Ovis aries: one gene and its partners. The main gene of each other region encodes a partner of the protein of the gene in region 3 in a complex. Links are inferred from orthologs where the notes say so. Each region holds a gene or a part of one and is shown on either strand. Other genes may lie near its edges. The genes, in order: GIPC1, CLTA, MYO6, GIPC2 and TOM1.

Region 1 (2,758 bases), on a different chromosome or scaffold from region 3:
AGGCCACCAGCAGGTGGTGCCCAAGCCCAGCTGGTGGTAACGGGTGGGAAAGGGGGTGGGGCAGCCCCACCCTTCTGCTGGGAGAGGGTGTTGGCTCTCTGCCCAGCTCAGGTGGAGGATGGAGGCAAGGAGGAAGTTGCCCCCACACCCAGCTTCCAGGAGCCATTAGCCTAGCCAAGCGCCCCCAACCTGGCCAACCCCCTAGCCCCAAGAAGCCAGGCTTGGCTGCCCTGTGCCAGGCCCCCTACTTTTTTGTCCAGCTTCATTAACTCTCCGGAATGGGCTCAAGGTCCCTGGCGTGGGGGAGGGGGACTCTAAAACACTTCCCCAGGCAGATAGGGTTGGTCTAAAACACTTCCCCAGGCAGATAGGGTTGGTCTGCTGCCCAGCAGCTAAACCCCCTTGGCCTTGGGGAAAGTAGATAGAGACCCAGGACCCATCCCCTTCCTGTCCCTCCGGCCCTGGGAACAGGAGTGGTCCCCTCCAGCCTCCCAGCCCTTTTCCAATCCTAGCCCCTGGCTGTGCCTCCTACACCCCGCCAAGCCAGAGTCAGGAGACCTGCCCTCCTGGGGTCACCTCCACCCCCAGTGCCCCCAAAGCCTACAGAAGCTTGGAGAAGGTGGAGGGTGGGCTGAGGCCGGGATGTCTGGGTTTCTGCCCAGAACATGCTGGAACTGGGCTTCTCCAGTCCTCACCCCATCCCCCTATCTCCCACAGACATGATCAGCGTGCGTTCAGGGGGTGGCCGCCCTGGCTCCGGTCCCCAGCTGGGTACTGGCCGAGGGACCCTCCGGCTCCGATCCCGGGGTCCAGCCACAGTAGAGGATCTGGTGAGTGTGCCAGCCGAGCCTAAGTCCCTCCCCGCTCCACCCCCCACCACCACTTTCCTGTGAAATTCATAGGTGGCAGCATCACTCTTAGCTGAGGGCCTCTGGGCACTGGATGTCCATCCACCTCTGCCACCTCCCAGCTCTGGGACCTTCCTTAGGCAAGTGGACCTCAGTTTCCTAATCTGTGAAACTTTTGGGGTTGTCATGAGGAAGAACCGTGGGTTTCTATACCAAAAGTGGTGTAAAAAAAAATTTGCACTCAGCGTTCAGTATAATTACAGGTATATTCACATTATTATAATGTCGTCTTCCCTCTTTCCGCCCCCAGCCTTCAGCCTTTGAGGAGAAGGCCATTGAGAAGGTGGATGACCTGTTAGAGAGTTACATGGGCATCAGGGACACAGAGTTGGGTAAGTGAGGAGGGGGTCATCAGGGTCTGGGGATGGGTGGGAGTGTGGGAGAAAGGGGCTTGCAGGTCCTGGGGGGCCAAGTCTACCCTGAGCCCCTCTGTCATCTGTGCCTCCATTCTGCTCCCCTGTCCTTCCCCCTCCAGCGGCCACCATGGTGGAGCTCGGAAAGGACAAAAGGAACCCGGATGAGCTGGCTGAGGCCCTGGATGAACGGCTGGGTGACTTCGCCTTCCCGGATGAGTTTGTCTTTGACGTCTGGGGTGCCATCGGGGACGCCAAGGTTGGCCGCTACTAGGCCTTCCGCTGGACCTCGAGATGACTTGGGCCAGGCCCGGTGGGAGCCTCTGGGGCGGAGACACCGTAGCCTGGACCCCAGTGTCTGGCTCTGGCCCAGCTCAGTAGCCTGGAGATGATGCGGAGCGGAGGTGGGGCTGGGCCTCTGCCCCTCCTCCAATCGGTACCACCCCCTCGCCAGTTCCCAGCCTGGCTGGGGCGCCCAGCCCCCCACCCCCGCCCTCCTCCCCACCTACCTCAGCCAGGGTCAGGCACAGCGGTGGAGAGGGACCAGCCAGATTGGGTGGCCACCCCCACCTCCCTGCCCCCAATACTTTCCGCCTCAGCTGCCAAACTGGTCCCTCCTATCTCCCTGGGGCCTCGGGTTCTGTTTGGGGGTCGTGACCTCCCTAGTTTCCTGATGCAGGGAATGCAGGAGGGGGGTGTGTCCCCCCCCTCAGCAAATGCAATAATGCCCTCCTCTTCCACCACCCCCCCCCCATCTCCCCAGAGGAGCCCCCTCACTGTGGAGTCTGTTACCTCCGCATTTGAAACACTAGTCTGCTGTGAAACCCCCCCAAACTCCCTCCCTCCCCAGCCCCGCTCGTGTCTCCCTCAGCTCAGCCCCAGACTGAAGGGGCAGGAGGGAGGGATGATGGTGGTGGGCTTTTGTACCTGAATTTGCTGTCTGGAACATAAAGAATCTATCTGCTGTTGGATCTGTGTGTTGGCTTCGGGGTGGGAGAGGAGGGTGGGTCAGGGCTGGGAAAGAATGTAGCAGCTGAAATCCATCCTCTTCGGGCTCCAAATTGAATTAAGAGCTGGCCCCAGCCACCCGCCCCCTCCCACCCGGTCCGCCTGATGAGGCTCTTGGCTGCAAGCCACCAGGCTTCCAGGCAAGGCCGGAGCTTCTTCGTCTACTCAGGGTGCAAATCTTGCTCCCTTTCGAACAAAGCTTCCCGCCACCCTCTGGCCTGATGTGAACAGTGGGCAAGAGGCAGTGGGCCCTTGTCTGTTCTGACCCAGTGGCCCGGAGAGCCCCCAGGCCAGAAAGTGAAAGCGTTACTCGCTCAGTCCTGTCTGACTCGTTGCGACCCCGTGGACTGTATATCCTGCCAGGCTCTTCTGCCCATGGAATTCCCCAGGCAGGGATACTGGAGTGGGTTGCCGACCCAGGGATCGAACCCCAGTCTTCTGCATTGTAGGCAGATTCTTTGCTGTCTGGGCCAGAAGGCATGGAGAAAG
Region 2 (3,631 bases), on a different chromosome or scaffold from region 3:
AGTATTTTCCTTTTGTGTCATCTAATGATTTTTTTTTAAAAAGGTTATATATTAGAATCAAAATATGGAAATGTATCCCTGAAAAAGTAGTCAAAAACTGTGTCTATTTGCACAGATTATAGTTAATGCATAATATAGTGCCTGTAAACCACCTTCTTGCTTTTATAGATTTAAGAAGTGGCACTGGCAATGAGAATTTAGAATTCTTAAATGCTTAGCTTGATGCAGCAAAGATCCCAGCTGAAATACAAGCTCCTTCTACCTGGGAGGGAGAAGGCAGAGCAGGGCTCACGGACAGCCGTCTTCTCTGGTCATGCTCATTACTGTTCACAGCAAAGTATTGGAAAACACCTCCCACAGCCAAGCTGAAAACCATGGCTACTGCTTATCTATTTTTAGCATCTTGCACTTTCTCATAGTTCTTGCAAGGGAAAAAGGTGAAACTGCAGAAACACCTAATTCATGGACCAACTTAATTCAATTCCATTGGAACATGAGGCCAAATATTTGACTTCCCTCAGGAAGGCATCTTAAGAAAACAACACTTTGTGGAATATTCCCAAAGAGCCCAAATTGTTAACTGAAAATGAAAATGAAATTTTTCCACACACCAAAGTATACTCTTCTCCATGTAGAAGTCAACTTTGCTAAACTTTGGGGAAAGAGAAAAGATATATCTGAGTTCTGCAACACGAAGAAGATTCCAGTAGCAATAATAGTTGCTACGTCAAGTCTTGCCTCAAAGTCTACTCAGAAGAGATATTTAAAGAATAGCAAGGAGCAAGGCTGCTAGCACCAGGAAGACCAATCTTCACCTTTTAAAAACTACACTATCCAGTACAGGGACTACTAGCTTCATATGGCTATTTAAATTTATTAAAATTAAATAAAATTTAAAATTCAGTTTCTCAGTCATACTAGCCACAAGCAGCTAGTGGTTACATTCAGAACAGCACTGATACGGAACATTTACATCATCAAAGAAACTACTATTGAATAATGCTGAGAGATTAAGTGTGCCCGCTGTTTGGAAAGCCACATAAATTACACTGGAGAGACACTAATTGGCTGTATTATCTGGGTCAAGTCCTTTCCTATTTCTAGGTGTCAGTCACACCATCTGAGTCATGTCTTCACTAGTTCAGTCATTCTCAAGAAGGAATAATAATGCTGTCACTGTGGTTACAGACGCATATTGCTATTTCTAGATGTACAATAAAATATTTATGCATAAAGTATCTGGTGTTTGTATCTGAATGGATCAGAAAAAAAAATTATGTGTATATTCACAATACACATAAATGTGTAGGCATGTGAGTGGGCTTCCCTGGTGGCTCAGCTGGTAAAGAATCCGCCTGCAATGCAGGAGACCTAGGTTCGATCCCTGGGTTGGGAAGATCCCCTGGAGAAGGGAAAGGCTACCCACTCCAGTATTCTGGCCTGGAGAATTCCATGGACTGTATAGTCCACTGGGTCGCAAAGAGTCAGACACGACTGAGCGACTTTCACTTCACTTTCACATTAGTGTATAAAACATATACAGGATTTCCCTGGTGGTCCAGTGGTTAAGAATCCACCTTTCGATGCAGAGACATGAGTTCCATGCTTGGTTGGGGAAGGAAGAATCCACATGCTGCGGGGTAACTAAGCCTGCGTGCCACAACTAAAACCTGCCATAGACGAATAAATATTTTAATACCAAAAAATAAGAACGTATACACACACCTCATTTATATAAAGAGCCAAATATGGCAAAATGTTCACTACTGAACCTGAAGGAAGGGGCACGTTTTATTCTCACTCTATGTTTGAAATTTTAATAAAGAGTTGAGAAGAGTACTCCACGGTTAACATCCCCTGCCCCACCACACCTTTTCAACACCCATGGACAGATACCAAGTCTCTCCTAATCTTGACCAACAGCTGACACTCCATGGAGAAGGCTCTTCACCAAAGGCCAGGCTGACTGGCACTGACCTTGGGCTTGGCCTGCCCTCAAAATGCTGTAAGCTAAGTGCAATGCTGCTGAGAGATGGGTATGGATTCTGAAGCAGGGCAGACTTAAGCTGAAATTCTGACTCTACCACTTTTAGCTGTGTGATTCAAAAACTTACTCTTCCTATGATCCTCCTTTTCCTCACCCATAAAAACTTAAGAACTCACAGGGATGTTAGCGTGAGAAGACCCAACTGTACATACTTCCTAACATTCCTCTCACTTTCCTCTTAAGCATTACCTTAAATTCAGCCTTCAAATTGTCAATGGACTGTGCAGTCCCTCGCATGGATATAACATCTTCAGGTTTATGAAGCACTTTCATATATACCATCTCAGACTACCCTTGGGGTTGGTAACACTGATCTTACTTCACAGATGAAGAAACAGGCTCTAAGGTTTGAGCAACCAAGTGCCCGCAGCTAGTAAAGAGTTACGGTTTGACCTGGAACCCAGTCTTTCACTCCAAGACTCTATCCACAGCACCACTCTGCCCTTTCCGAGAAGGGAGGGTGCACTTGTGACTCTGGGCTTGTGATGAAGCATCTCCATGTAGGTGGTGTTGTGATCTTCTCATTGTGAAACATACCCTCTCCAAAACTGGACAAGGACATTACGGCTAATTCATGTTAAAAATGGGTAACAGTAGAGTCAAGGTCAACTATTCCACTGAAAACAGACACCCGAAGACAGAAAGGGATTCCTTACCAAGGGCTTCCAAGCGTTCCGTCTGCTCTTCTCTCCATTTACGGATACTTTCAGGCTCTGACTGCAATCGATCCACTTGTGAAATAGCTGCGTAACTGTCTGTCGGCCCATTACTCTCCTTAACAGAAAACACAGTTGTGCTCTATCAGTTCCAAAACCTCCTCCCCGACATGCCCTTCACCCAAGTTAGAACCCCTGGTTACGTGCCACACTGATGGCTGCTCTAAATGTGAAGGAGCAACAACATCCTTACATGCTGGTAGGAAGCTTTCAACGTGATGCACTCAAGCCTTACAACCCACAAGGTAGGCAGAGTAGCTGTTATCCGGCTACTAAATGAGACATGAGTGGGAGAAAGCAAAGTTGGGGAAGTGGGTAATGGACTTACTAGGAAAACAGTATCATCAACTTTGTTTTCCTTACTTGACAAAGAGACTATAATATCTTCAAAGTAACAAAGGTAAATACATGATACAGTAAGACCTAGAACCTGACACTTCCAAATGCTTATTATACAATACAGGGAAAAGTTCACTGTATACCACCTAGGCAAACTACAGTGAATTCTAGGGAAGAGAGTCCAAAAGAAAATGCATAGTTAGTACAGTCATACCAAGAAAAAGAAAAAAAGGCAGGCAAATGTGAATCAGTGTATGTGGCAGTGGGTAGGAGGGAGCGGGTGGGTAGGGGGCTGACTCTTCTTTATAGTGGCTAAGATTGGGGAGCTAGTAAACAAGTTGATAAAGATTCAAATGGAATTTAATCTTTAGAGAATTACTGCACCTACTGAACTAGGAACATTACCAGCTTAACCTCAGCAGACTATAAACAAAGATGGAAAGCAAACGATTTACAGTAGTATTCACTTATTATTAGAACCGTCCATGTTTCAGCCACATGAACCCTTTATCTCCCAAACACCTTGCAA
Region 3 (3,631 bases):
ACTTGATGATTTCTTTTACCCTCAACAAGAGACCTTAAAAAATATATATCGCATAACATGAAAACAGAAGTATTCTGTTTAGTCATATTTTTAGCATTTAATTAAAATGAAAAATCTATTTGTATGATTAAATGGTAGAATTAAAGTGATAAAGTATTATCTTTGCAGCATTGATGGCCTGGTTAAGGTGGGCACACTGAAAAAACGGCTCCATAAATTTAATGAAGTAGTAAATGCATTGAAAGATGGAAAACCAGAGATGAATAAACAGGTCAAGGACCTTGAAATTTCTATTGATGCTTTAATGGCCAAAATTAAGGTATGTAGTTTTAACCCAAATCACTTTTGACTTTTAAAAACAGTTTAATATTTTTTGTTACTATATTGAAATTTTATAGAAAAATGTCCTTTTTTAAAAAAAATACAGACTGTTAGATGTGTTGAGTCTCAGTGATAAGTGATAGTCATCTTATTTTCTCTACTCTGTGTTTGAAATTTTTCATAGCAAAAAAATTAAAATGAAGACAATTTTTGTGCAATTCATTTGTTGCTAGGAAAGACTTTTCCAAAATATTAACTAAAATATTATACTTTTGGTAAGCTTTTGCAAAATCATTACTGAGAGAAAATTAATGCAAATTGTTTTATTTTGTTTCATGCTTTTCTACTTTCAGAAACTAATTTTTAAATTTTAAAAGTAATAGTCTCAAAAATTTGGAGAAAATCTGCCCCACTTCTTTACCCCTCACACTAACACATTCACCTATATACTGTTGCATGTTCCTCTCAGTCTTATTTTATATGCACATATTTTTGCACCGTTCTTATAAGGTACATTATATTTCACATTCCTATCATTATGTTATTGCCTCGTCCCTATTATTAAATTATTTTCATGTAGGCTATATCATAAATTACTTAACTTTCACGAAATAACAATTAATTTTCTCCCATATTTTGTAAGAAAAAAAGCGAGAGGGCATCTTTGGTTTTGATTTTTGTTTGATTACTAGTGGGATTGAAAATTTTTTCTTTGTGCTTGTTTGTTGATTTTGTTCATCTATTCGTATCATTTTCTGTAATATTTTAGGGCCTCAATGTTTTTCTCATTGACTTTCATAATTCATTGCAGTTATGTGAAATATAATATCTTAAAGTGAGACTTTTAGATATTTTCTACAGATAATGATAAATCTTGGAGTAAGAATGGAGAAAGAAGTCAAGAGAAAACTGAAAATGCTTTGGATAGCCTTAGCTGATTTTACAGATCTGTCCAGAACCACCCCTGTTTATGTGGTATTAATCAATTAAAATCAACCCAGCCACATTTAAGAAAATCATCCAACAATTTTGGGTATAATGATAATTTCTTAAATATCCCCAATGTATTATTTGATCCTTAATATTAAAGAGTAGTAAATTCTGGCAAAATTAATCATTTCTTAAAAAATAAACTTTAACTACAGTATATTAGTTTGTGCACAGTATACTCTTAAGATACTTGATTACTTGATAGGAAGTAGACTCAAATTTTGTTCATAGAGATAACTTAAAATTTAAGTATTCTTTAATATTTAAGCAATAAAAAGATAGTGGGCCTCCTGCTTACCAGCTTTTTCAGTTTTGCTGTGTCTGTGCATGGTGGTTTGTTTCCTTAATTGTGTGAAACGCATACCATTAAACTTACCACTTTAACCAGGTTTTAAATGTACAGTTCAGTGGTGTTCAGTGTGTTCTAACTGTTGTACAGCAGAAGAGATGACTTTTTAAGTGCACGTCCATTGTGTTCTTTCTTTCAGTCCACGGTGATGACAAGGGAACAAATACAGAAAGAGTATGATGCTCTAGTTCAAAGCTCAGAGGTCCTTCTCAGCGCGCTGCAGAAGAAAAAGCAGCAGGAGGAAGAAGCAGAAAGGCTGAGGCGCATTCAAGAAGAAATGGAAAAAGAAAGAAAAAGACGTGAAGAAGATGAGCAACGTCGAAGGAAGGAGGAGGAGGAAAGGCGGATGTAAGGCATTTATGTTGTTGCCTTGGATTAGAAACTGACGCCATAGTGAACTCTGAAGTGTTGACGGTGGTTAATGAATATTCTTATCTGTAAAAGTGATATTCTTATATTTAAATACTAATTTTAGAAGAAGTTTGAAAATGGAGAAAGTAAGCTCACTTTACAGTAACATAAAATGATTTTAATTATAATCTGAATTTTGGTTAAACTCACACCTGAGGATTTCTTAACTTCTTTTTGAAACTGACTTTCATATTATTTTATGATCTAGGAAGAAAGTACTTTTCTGCAGTTTTAAAACTGATAAAATTTTGGAAGCTTGCCATAGTAGGGCAGACAGAAGGAATATGAGTTGTCTAATTGGAGAGGCAGTGTGATTAAGACCTTACAAGTACGCTTGGTAACCAAGTTAATCCAGAGATGTTAAAGGTTATGGAATATAATTATTTCTTTTGTTTCTAAAGAGCTGCTATCAAAGTTAGATTTTATTTTTCAGAAAATAAGTTAATAATGTAATAGGTTAATTTGACTTCCCATTTTGTAACATTTATTTATTAATAAACTTTCTTCTGAAGAGTTTCTTATTTTCTGTTAATTTTTGAAGAGTTTTCTAATTTTTTTTTTTTTTTTTTTTTTAGGAAACTTGAGATGGAAGCAAAGAGAAAACAAGAAGAAGAAGAAAGAAAGAAAAGAGAAGATGATGAAAAACGTATTCAGGTCTGTACTTTCTAGGCAGTCAGACTGAATTCTTACTAAATAGAATCTGCAAAACTATAAAACAAAAGAAGATCTTCATTTACTAGATAAATTGTCACTGATTTATCCTAGAGAGCAAAGGCAGTTTCAGAAGTGGTTATAGGAAGGGACTTTGGAGCTAGGGAAGTGAGTTCAAATCCAGCCTCTCACTGACAGAAATCGTGATATTGCAGGAGTTACAGTGAGTGACTGTGGGCCACAGTTTTCTTTCTGGAATGGAGATAAATAATAATTGTGAGCATTAAATGAGATAATACCTATTAAAGCATTTAGAACAGTGCCTTGTTTAGTAGGTATTAGTTTGTCATCATTTAGAGGGGGACAGTCAGATCAGCATTCAGTCACAACATAATTATCTAATATTTTTAAATGTTATTTTATAACTTTGTAGATGCTAATATTAATAGGTTAGGATTAAGATACTCTCACTATTGCCACCATCTTTAAAAAAAAAATCCATGTCTGAGAATAATTAATCCTATTTTGAGTGTCTGTCTTGGCTTTCTGATTTATCCTGAACACAACCAATACTTTAAGTTCCTGAAATCTGCAGTGTAGGTGTTGGTATTCAGGTCACACCAAGGCTACTGATGTGATGTTTGGGAGACTCATATTCTAGTGATAGAATGGCGGATTCTTACTTTGGGGCTTGAGGAAACATTAATCATAATATAGAAGGGGAGAAGATGGTAGATTTCTGGGTAAAGAGTATGTATTTCTTAGTTTAAAAAAAAAAAGAAAAAACGTGTATGGAGCAAGTGTGCACAGTGAGGGGATGAGCAGAGAGAGAGGGGCCCGGCGTCAAGGCCTTCTGTGCCGGCAGGCAGAGGTGGAGGCGCAGCTGGCCCGGCAGCGGGAGGAGGAGAC
Region 4 (3,524 bases), on a different chromosome or scaffold from region 3:
AGTTATTTTGTAAAATGTGCCTCAGTTTTGGATTCTTTTTTCATAATAGCATTCAGGTTGCACCTCTGGCAGAAATATCACAAATGTAGTGATGTGTTCTTTTCATTATATTTTACTTGGAGGCACAAGACTTCGATTTGTTCTGTTTATGATGTTGATGACTTCTTTAGGTGGTATCTGCTAAGCTTCTCCACTGAAAGTTATCCTCTTCATAATAAGTATTTGGTGAGGATATATTTTGAAGCTATGTAAATATCCTGTTCCTTGTGAATCAACCAACCAACCTTTCATCCATCTGTTTGTCAATCAACCAATCACTTCATTATGGATTCTTGGTTTCCTGTTTTGTTCAATAGGATTATAATCTATGACCATCACTAATTCTGATGCTCAGATTGTCCCTCATTGGGTCAATGGGAATTCTTCCGTTCTGATTTCTGTGTCTTTTCACATGTTCCTACCATTTTTGGGGAGACATTAGTTTCTGGAGGAGATATTCTTGGTTCATATTGTACTTTGCCTACTCCAGCCCTGGAATCAGCCATTTCTCTGAGGAACTCTGATTCTTTTTAGTGGAGAATGATATTTAACAACCAAGATCTGGGTGTTTTGTCTGCTCATTGCTATTGGGATGCCGCTTCTCCCGGGCCCTCCCAGTGGATTGGGGAATGTGTGTGTTCATGTCTTTACCTCTATAGTTTTTCATCTCTTTCTAAAAATACGTATTTCACTGATCTCTACAATTCTAATTTAGCAGGGTTCATTCTAGTTTTCTCCTTTTTCCTGTTAATCTTTCTCTGACAGTGACAAAACTTCTTTCCCATTATTCATTGTTTATATGCTTATGTGATCCATGCCCATGTATATAACCAATCTCTCATCAGTGTGGCTGCTGTCTTCCTCTCCCCTCCCCCATGCTCCCCTTACCACACCTGGACTCCACCCTATAACAGGTTGTCCAGCCAAGAGGAAGCCCTTCTTACTTAATTAGGACTTTGACCCCTGCCCCAGGTCACCCCATCCACATCCCACTTCTGCTCTGATTATGGTGTTCCTCTATGGGCCACATCTCTTTCCTTCCCCCAGCCTACCCGTGTTAGTACTGAAATGTTTGAGATGAAAAACAGTTCTTAAATGTCCTTAAGAGACCTAGTGGATTTTAATTGGAAGGACCAACCTCTTGGCTCATTCATAGAAATCATATAACCTTTGGTTTGTTTAACCTTAACCTGAGGACTGCCCTGGTGGTATAGCAGATAAGAATCTACCTGCCAATGCTGGGGACATGAGGGTGATCTCTGATCTGGAAAGATTCCACGTGCCATGGAGCAACTAAGGCCATGAGCTGTAGCTGCTGAGCTTGCATGCTGCAATTACTGAAACCCGTGTGCCTAGAGTCCGTGCTCTATAACAAGAGAAACCACTGCAATGAGAAGCCTGCTCACCATAATGAAGAGTAGCCCCTGCTAATACAACTAGAGAAAGACTGTGTGCAGCAATGAAGATCCAGCACAACCATATATATATATGTATATATATGTGTGTATATATATATGTATACTTATGTAAATATTAGCCTAGGGGAAAAACTGGGCTTTGGTATTTCCCTTTACCCAGCTGTTTTTCACCCAAGTCCCAAATTGCATCCACACTGTCTCTTCTGGTAGCTAATGCTTTAGAGGAATTACAAAAAGCCAGCTGAGTCCTATGGGATCCCCGCCAGGTGGTGCAGGTCTCATGGGAATGTTTACTCCTGAAGATGCTGGTTTCCCAGACATAAAATATGTCCAGGCAACTCATTAGAAAAACAGAACAAGGGTACCATCTTCACTTTCTAACCCAACCTGGAAATGGACTCAAAAAGAGCTACCTCAGTTCCATGAGTAGACAGATTCCCCCCGCTTCTCTCTAGCTTGATTTCTCCAAACTGTTATTCTTTGTCTTTTTTTCATAGTTGCAGGTGGGGGACTGGCAGACGGGACAGAAAGAGCTAGTTACTATGGGGAAGTGAGGAAGGGAGTACTCTGGGTTTCCTCTCTGGGTTAACCACAGGGTTTTCTTTCAGGAATTGTTGCTCCACCCACAGGAACACCAGAAGTTCCTATCTGATGGACTTCAAGACAGAGGAGAGGTCGGGGTAGCAACTGCAAACCTGGGTGCCAAAGATAGATGGTTTAAAACATCTTTGCTAACTTGATATGTGATGATAGCATGTTATTTTAATTTGTGCTAGAAGTATGTATATATGTATCTGTGTAACTTTTGGAAAATGCTTTTCCTGTTGCCCGTTTTCTCAGCCCTCTGATGCTGTATCATTAATGTATCATTAATGATGTATCATTAATTTTAAAAAATTATTTTTGATAGCTACTACAATGTTTGAAGCTGGAAAGGACAAAGGTAATCCAGATGAATTTGCTGTGGCACTTGATGAAACTCTTGGAGACTTTGCGTTCCCAGATGAATTTGTCTTTGATGTTTGGGGAGTCATTGGTGATGCCAAACAAGAATGATTATGATGTGAATGATCGACTCTGGAAGAATGCACCATTGTTTCTTAAGAAAAAAGTAAGATCTGCCTTCAGACACTGTTATGGACTCTGGCTTGGTTTTATGTGTATGAATACATTCTTCTGAAATATAGTCTTGATTTCTGGGCGCTTTTTAAATGCAGTTGTATATGGAGTATGCTTAAGATAAATTACCTCAAATGTAACCAATTTTAATATTCATTCAAAAGCTTTTTAAAAGTTAGTTTTAGAGAGTATTTCTAGATAGATAATTTTGTTTCCCATTGACAGCCGTGTTTTGTTTTTCACATAAAAGTTGATTGCAATAGCTTTGTAGTTCTTTTGCAAGATCTTAATGTAGTAAAAACTAGGATTGCAGTATAGTTTGCCTCATAGAGTCTTCATTTTGTTATACTAGTTTTAACAGGATGGGTTCAGAACATGAAATGTGAATTATGCCTCCTAGATGTCTGGTAACATTTTTTTTTTTTAAACCTGCTGAGTAAGAGGAGGAAGAGTCCTACAACCTATTAAAGTCTATGGCCTACTTTCTGTCTTTATTAAAACAAGGATTGATGAACTTTTATTTTTTGCTTCTTTGTAATTGCTTTCTTGATTCTTAAACTTGTTGAAATCTATTGTGTTGTAAATGTGTTTGCATGTGTAGAAGAAGGTGAAAAAGAGGAACTATCTTCTAACCTATCATTAGAAAACACTAATATTTAATTTTTTAGCAGTTCTTACAACATTATTTATTTTCCACTCATACCTACTCTTATGTTACCCTTTATAAGCATTCCAGAGAAAGTTTTTTATAGTCTTTGTAGAGCTTTTCTTTTGAAAGATGTTTACTCAGAAAATAGCTGTGTTTGAGGACATTTTTAGGGGGTGGTTAAAGAGCAAAACTTTTAAGTCTCCTAAACTTTTAAGGAGATGCTATCAGAATAGATTTCCTCCAAGTGAAAATGCAGGAGGAAGGGAAAGTTGAGAAAAATATGTTCTATTATTTTGGAG
Region 5 (3,631 bases), on a different chromosome or scaffold from region 3:
GGACACGTAACGTGGACACCCTGGACCCCTCTTCTCCTGAATAAGCTTATGCACAGAGCGGGCTTAGACCAGGCCAGGCCCAGAATGGGCTCCTGGTGCACGTCAGCCGTCAGCACCATCGTCACTTGATCTGTTAAGTGTTATCGGCTGCCTGCTCAGAAGTAATTGAGAGAGAGGAGGTGAGGTGCCCGGTGTCCCTCAGCCAGCAGGTGGCCTGTCCCACCCATATGCCCTACCCTGCCCCACTCCAAGTTGCCCTGCTTCTCCAGAACCGACCTGGGCCTGGCAGGAAGCAGCCCAGCCATGACTCCAAGGACAGCCAGGCAGACCCTTCATGTGGTCTTTTTGTCCCCACAGACCTGGGCTCCAGCAGCGTGAGGGCTGGCCTGCAGTCTCTGGAGGCCTCCGGCCGACTGGAAGATGAGTTTGACATGTTTGCACTGACGCGGGGCAGCTCACTGGCTGACCAACGCAAAGAGTGAGTGCTGAAACCCACCCTGGGCTCCTGCGGTTTGGGTCAACCGCTGTCAGGGGAGGGCCTCTCTCCAGGTCCCTGAGCTCGGTGTATGGGTGGGCACACCAGCCCCTACCTGCACCCCCTCAGGATGGCAGAGTTTTTCCCCCTGAGTCAGTCCTACATGGCCTGGGATGGATGAGGGAGGGACGCCCATTGGGTGACGACTAGCTTGGTTCCAGAATCTTACACAAGCCGAGCAGATGAGGAAACAGAGACTCTGAGAGGCTGGTCATTTGCCCCACCTCAGGCAGCTAATGTTTGACAGAGTCAGGAACCCCAGACTGTCTGGTTCTAAAACGCAGTGTCCCAACCCAGCCCAGCTCCCCACTGCACTGTACATCATGTACCAAGCCCTCAGAGACTGGTCCAGTGATTTCTGCTATTCTGCAACCAGCCTTAATTTCCATGGAAGTTGCATTATCCCACTCGAGTCTGCCTGCCCTGCCCTCGAGCTTGGGCTCTATGCTTCCTGGGACTGTCCATTTTCAGGGAGATACTTTTAGCAGTGGAGGCCACATGGCCAAATGTCCACCAGGCCGGCTTCCCAGGACCAGCTCCATATGGCTGATCAGGGGACAGGGTTTGCTTAGGGCTGTTATCAGCCTTTTGCTTGTAACCCCGGGGCAGGTACCAGGTACCAGGTAACCAGGATGTAAAACCAAGGAAAGCACTGGACTAAGGGAACTTCTTGGCAGACTCCATTCCGGTCTCCTTGGGAGCTGTTGATAGGCCTCCAGAGGGCCCAGGGGTCCCCCATCCACTCTGGCCAGTCCCAGTGAAACCTGACAGGCTATAGCCGGCTTGGCTCATAGGGCTGCTCACAGCCCCACCCACTGGCTGGCCAGCCCTGCCCTGTGAGCCGAACCCTTGAGTCTGGGGCGGAGTTTGTGCTCCCAAGCCCAGATGCCCTGGGACCAGTGGCTCACGGTCACCTTGGAGGTAGGGGCGCAGTGAGGCTGCTGTGTGACTGGAGGCTAATGAGTCTGGTGGGACTTGCCGCCAGAAGGGTGGCCCGGCTGAGGTTTGCAGCTGTGCTGTCCCTACTCTGGGGAGCCCTGAAGGCCAGAGAAAAGCACACCCCGAGCTTGCCTCCAGAGCCTGCAGTCTCTTGGGATTGGGAGGTAGCCTGCCTGTGGGCCGCTGCTGTGCAGTGCTAGGCTGTGGATCAGTTCGTGTAAAGGGTCAGGCAGGGGTAGAGTGAGACACCCAGTTTTCTGGTTGGCTGCAGCCCCTTTGCGTGGTGAGCCATGTGACAGGGTTAACTCGCCAATTCCCATGCCCTCCTGGCTATCTCTGTTCTTCAGAAAGGCTGCCTGAGAATTTGGGGGTTTATTCTAGAGCCCCCTTTAAGTTGCCAGCCTACCCAGTCCCCAGGGAGGCAGGTTGGCACTATCAGAGCCACATGTGCTATGCTTGCGCTGGTCCAGCCCAGCTCCAGCAGTGTGAGGTGCTCCCCACCCACCCCACCTGGAAGAAGACCCCTCCTCCCTAATGGCGCAGGGCTTTCCTTTGAGGCTAGAATCCCAAGATTCTCATCTTCACCTCAACAGCTGACCCAGGGACTTCCTGATGGTCCAGTGATTGACTCCATGCTTCCAATGCAGGGGGCACAGTTTCGATCCCTTTCAGGGAACTAGATCCCACATATCATACATGACCACCAGAAGAAAAAAGACTGACCCAGTCTCACCTCCTCTCTGCCAGCAGTTCAGGGCAAGAATGACAGCTCTTCCCAAGCTGCTGGACCATGTCCCCGAAGCCTCCCTGGATGTCCCCCTCTGTAGCAGCCAGAGAGACACCAGCCCCCTTGTTAGCACGGGCTTTCCTCCCGCTCCCCCGAACCTTCACTGGAGACACGGCAGATCCCTCCCTCCCCACCCTCCTCTGCTCGGAGGGTACAGTGTCCCCCGCGTTTCCTCCCAGTCGCCGGGGCTGGCACCCCGAGCGCATGCAGAATCCTCACCCGCCGTCTGCAGGTCTGTTTTCAGCTGCAGAGTGCGGTTCCCCCGTTCACACACAGCCTTCACAGAACCACAGGTTCTGAAATTACGCTGTGGGAGCTGCTCTGGAGAGGGTCTAGATACGAGCTCTCCATGACCACGGGGTCTGGGACGCTGTGCTCATCCCTGTAGTGTGGCCAAATCCAGGAATAGGAGGTCGGTGGACTTGGTCTCTGACCCCCAACACCTCGCTTCTCCAGCCTCGCTCTGCCTGTCATACAAGCCACATGTCTGACCCAGGTTCCCAAAGGCAGGAAAGGAGACCTTTTGCTCCATCTCAAGGCAGGCCTGCAGATTGGTGCCCCTCTTGGGGCTCCTGCCCAGGCACATTCTGAGTCCACACAGAATGTGGGTCTAGCCCTTGCCCACCCAACCCCTTCCCTCCTCATGTCGGCTGGCATGTCTGGTATGGTGAGGGTGGCAGGTAATGGCCACAGTGGCCTCTGTATTTCAGGGTAAAATACGAAGCCCCTCAAGCAACAGATGGCCTGGCTGGAGCCCTGGATGCCCGGCAGCAGAGCACTGGAGCGGTAAGCAGAGGGGCCTGTCCAGAGGAAGGCTGGGCAGTGCTTGCCTGGCGGTGCCCCTGGTTTATGACAGGAGGTGTGAGAGTGTGGATGGGAGGGGCTCAGCACTGACTTGGAGCTGAGCTAGTATTCAGCCCCTCTGCCCCTCCAGAGCCCTGTTATCTGCAGGAATGTGGACAGAGAGGGGCTGGAGGACAGACCCTAAAACCACAGGGAGGCACCCAAAGGTGCCACTTGTATTCCATTTAACTGCTGGCATATGTGGAATGAAAGCCACTTGCCACACTGAGCACGCTGTACCAGCCACTTGCCCCCTTGGCAGGAGTTCCAAGGACAGTTCCCTTGCCTTTAAATTTGTTTCTGGGTGCCTTTTGGGCAGAGAGCGGTAGTTACAACGTGCAGGACCTGGGCGCTGGAGAGGCAAGGCCAGTGAACAGCAGGGCCAAGGAGGGGGTTGGTCACAACCCAGGGCTTCAAAGGTACAGGTGGGACTGGGCGCTGGAACGTGAAGCCTGAGGGGCAACTGGGAGGACTGGCTTCTCCTGCCTGAGGTGGGAGCCCTGGGCAGTCTGGAGCAGAGGTTGGCA

What was found.
Region 1: the proteins of MYO6 (region 3) and GIPC1 are in contact, whole or in part, in a crystal structure (PDB 5V6E), measured with the Mus musculus proteins. The link is inferred for Ovis aries from reciprocal best matches to the Homo sapiens genes MYO6 and GIPC1. Residues at the interface, in NP_001034635.2 of Mus musculus: Ser1055, Lys1056, Trp1057, Lys1058, Tyr1059, Ala1060, Arg1084, Arg1085, Leu1086, Val1088, Tyr1089, Trp1092, Lys1093, Asn1096; in NP_061241.1 of Mus musculus: Glu273, Ser274, Tyr275, Met276, Gly277, Ile278, Arg279, Asp280, Glu282, Leu283, Thr286, Asp310, Phe311, Ala312, Pro314, Glu316.
Region 2: the proteins of MYO6 (region 3) and CLTA are in contact, whole or in part, in an NMR structure (PDB 6E5N), measured with the Homo sapiens proteins. The link is inferred for Ovis aries from reciprocal best matches to the Homo sapiens genes MYO6 and CLTA. Residues at the interface, in NP_001355794.1 of Homo sapiens: Met1053, Thr1054, Pro1055, Met1058, Ala1059, Met1062, Ser1087, Trp1089, Lys1090, Tyr1091, Glu1113, Arg1117, Leu1118, Val1120, Tyr1121, Trp1124, Asn1128; in NP_009027.1 of Homo sapiens: Glu47, Asn48, Glu50, Ala51, Phe52, Ile54, Leu55, Asp56, Gly57, Gly58, Ala59, Pro60, Gly61.
Region 4: the proteins of MYO6 (region 3) and GIPC2 are in contact, whole or in part, in a crystal structure (PDB 5V6H), measured with the Mus musculus proteins. The link is inferred for Ovis aries from reciprocal best matches to the Homo sapiens genes MYO6 and GIPC2. Residues at the interface, in NP_001034635.2 of Mus musculus: Ser1055, Lys1056, Trp1057, Lys1058, Tyr1059, Arg1084, Arg1085, Leu1086, Val1088, Tyr1089, Trp1092, Lys1093, Asn1096; in NP_058563.1 of Mus musculus: Glu255, Leu256, Tyr257, Met258, Gly259, Ile260, Asp262, Asp264, Leu265, Thr268, Thr289, Leu290, Asp292, Phe293, Ala294, Pro296.
Region 5: the proteins of MYO6 (region 3) and TOM1 are in contact, whole or in part, in a crystal structure (PDB 6J56), measured with the Homo sapiens proteins. The link is inferred for Ovis aries from reciprocal best matches to the Homo sapiens genes MYO6 and TOM1. Residues at the interface, in NP_001355794.1 of Homo sapiens: Ile1182, Phe1184, Trp1202, Gln1214, Glu1216, His1218, Asp1220, Lys1221, Pro1222, Ile1224, Leu1226, Glu1234, Met1235, Cys1236, Leu1238, Glu1242, Thr1243, Gly1244, Leu1245, Arg1247; in NP_005479.1 of Homo sapiens: Ser440, Glu441, Phe443, Phe446, Leu447, Arg450, Ala451, Ala453, Ala454, Asp455, Leu457, Pro458, Asn459, Leu460, Ser461.

The regions. Positions count from the first base shown.
Region 1 is NC_056058.1:9,615,374-9,618,131, forward strand, and holds the end of GIPC1 (PDZ domain-containing protein GIPC1), read left to right. Parts: intron 1-717; coding exon 718-830; intron 831-1,158; coding exon 1,159-1,240; intron 1,241-1,383; coding exon 1,384-1,535; 3' UTR 1,536-2,232; downstream 2,233-2,758. UniProt on the Homo sapiens protein: May be involved in G protein-linked signaling.
Region 2 is NC_056055.1:52,357,336-52,360,966, forward strand, and holds part of CLTA (clathrin light chain A), read right to left. Parts: intron 2,822-3,631; coding exon 2,704-2,821; intron 1-2,703. UniProt on the Homo sapiens protein: Clathrin is the major protein of the polyhedral coat of coated pits and vesicles.
Region 3 is NC_056061.1:2,723,933-2,727,563, forward strand, and holds part of MYO6 (unconventional myosin-VI), read left to right. Parts: intron 1-168; coding exon 169-319; intron 320-1,799; coding exon 1,800-2,008; intron 2,009-2,646; coding exon 2,647-2,725; intron 2,726-3,587; coding exon 3,588-3,631. UniProt on the Homo sapiens protein: Myosins are actin-based motor molecules with ATPase activity. Unconventional myosins serve in intracellular movements. Myosin 6 is a reverse-direction motor protein that moves towards the minus-end of actin filaments.
Region 4 is NC_056054.1:54,582,747-54,586,270, forward strand, and holds part of GIPC2 (PDZ domain-containing protein GIPC2), read left to right. Parts: intron 1-2,367; coding exon 2,368-2,513; 3' UTR 2,514-3,524.
Region 5 is NC_056056.1:179,193,069-179,196,699, forward strand, and holds part of TOM1 (target of Myb1 membrane trafficking protein), read left to right. Parts: intron 1-357; coding exon 358-478; intron 479-2,971; coding exon 2,972-3,047; intron 3,048-3,631.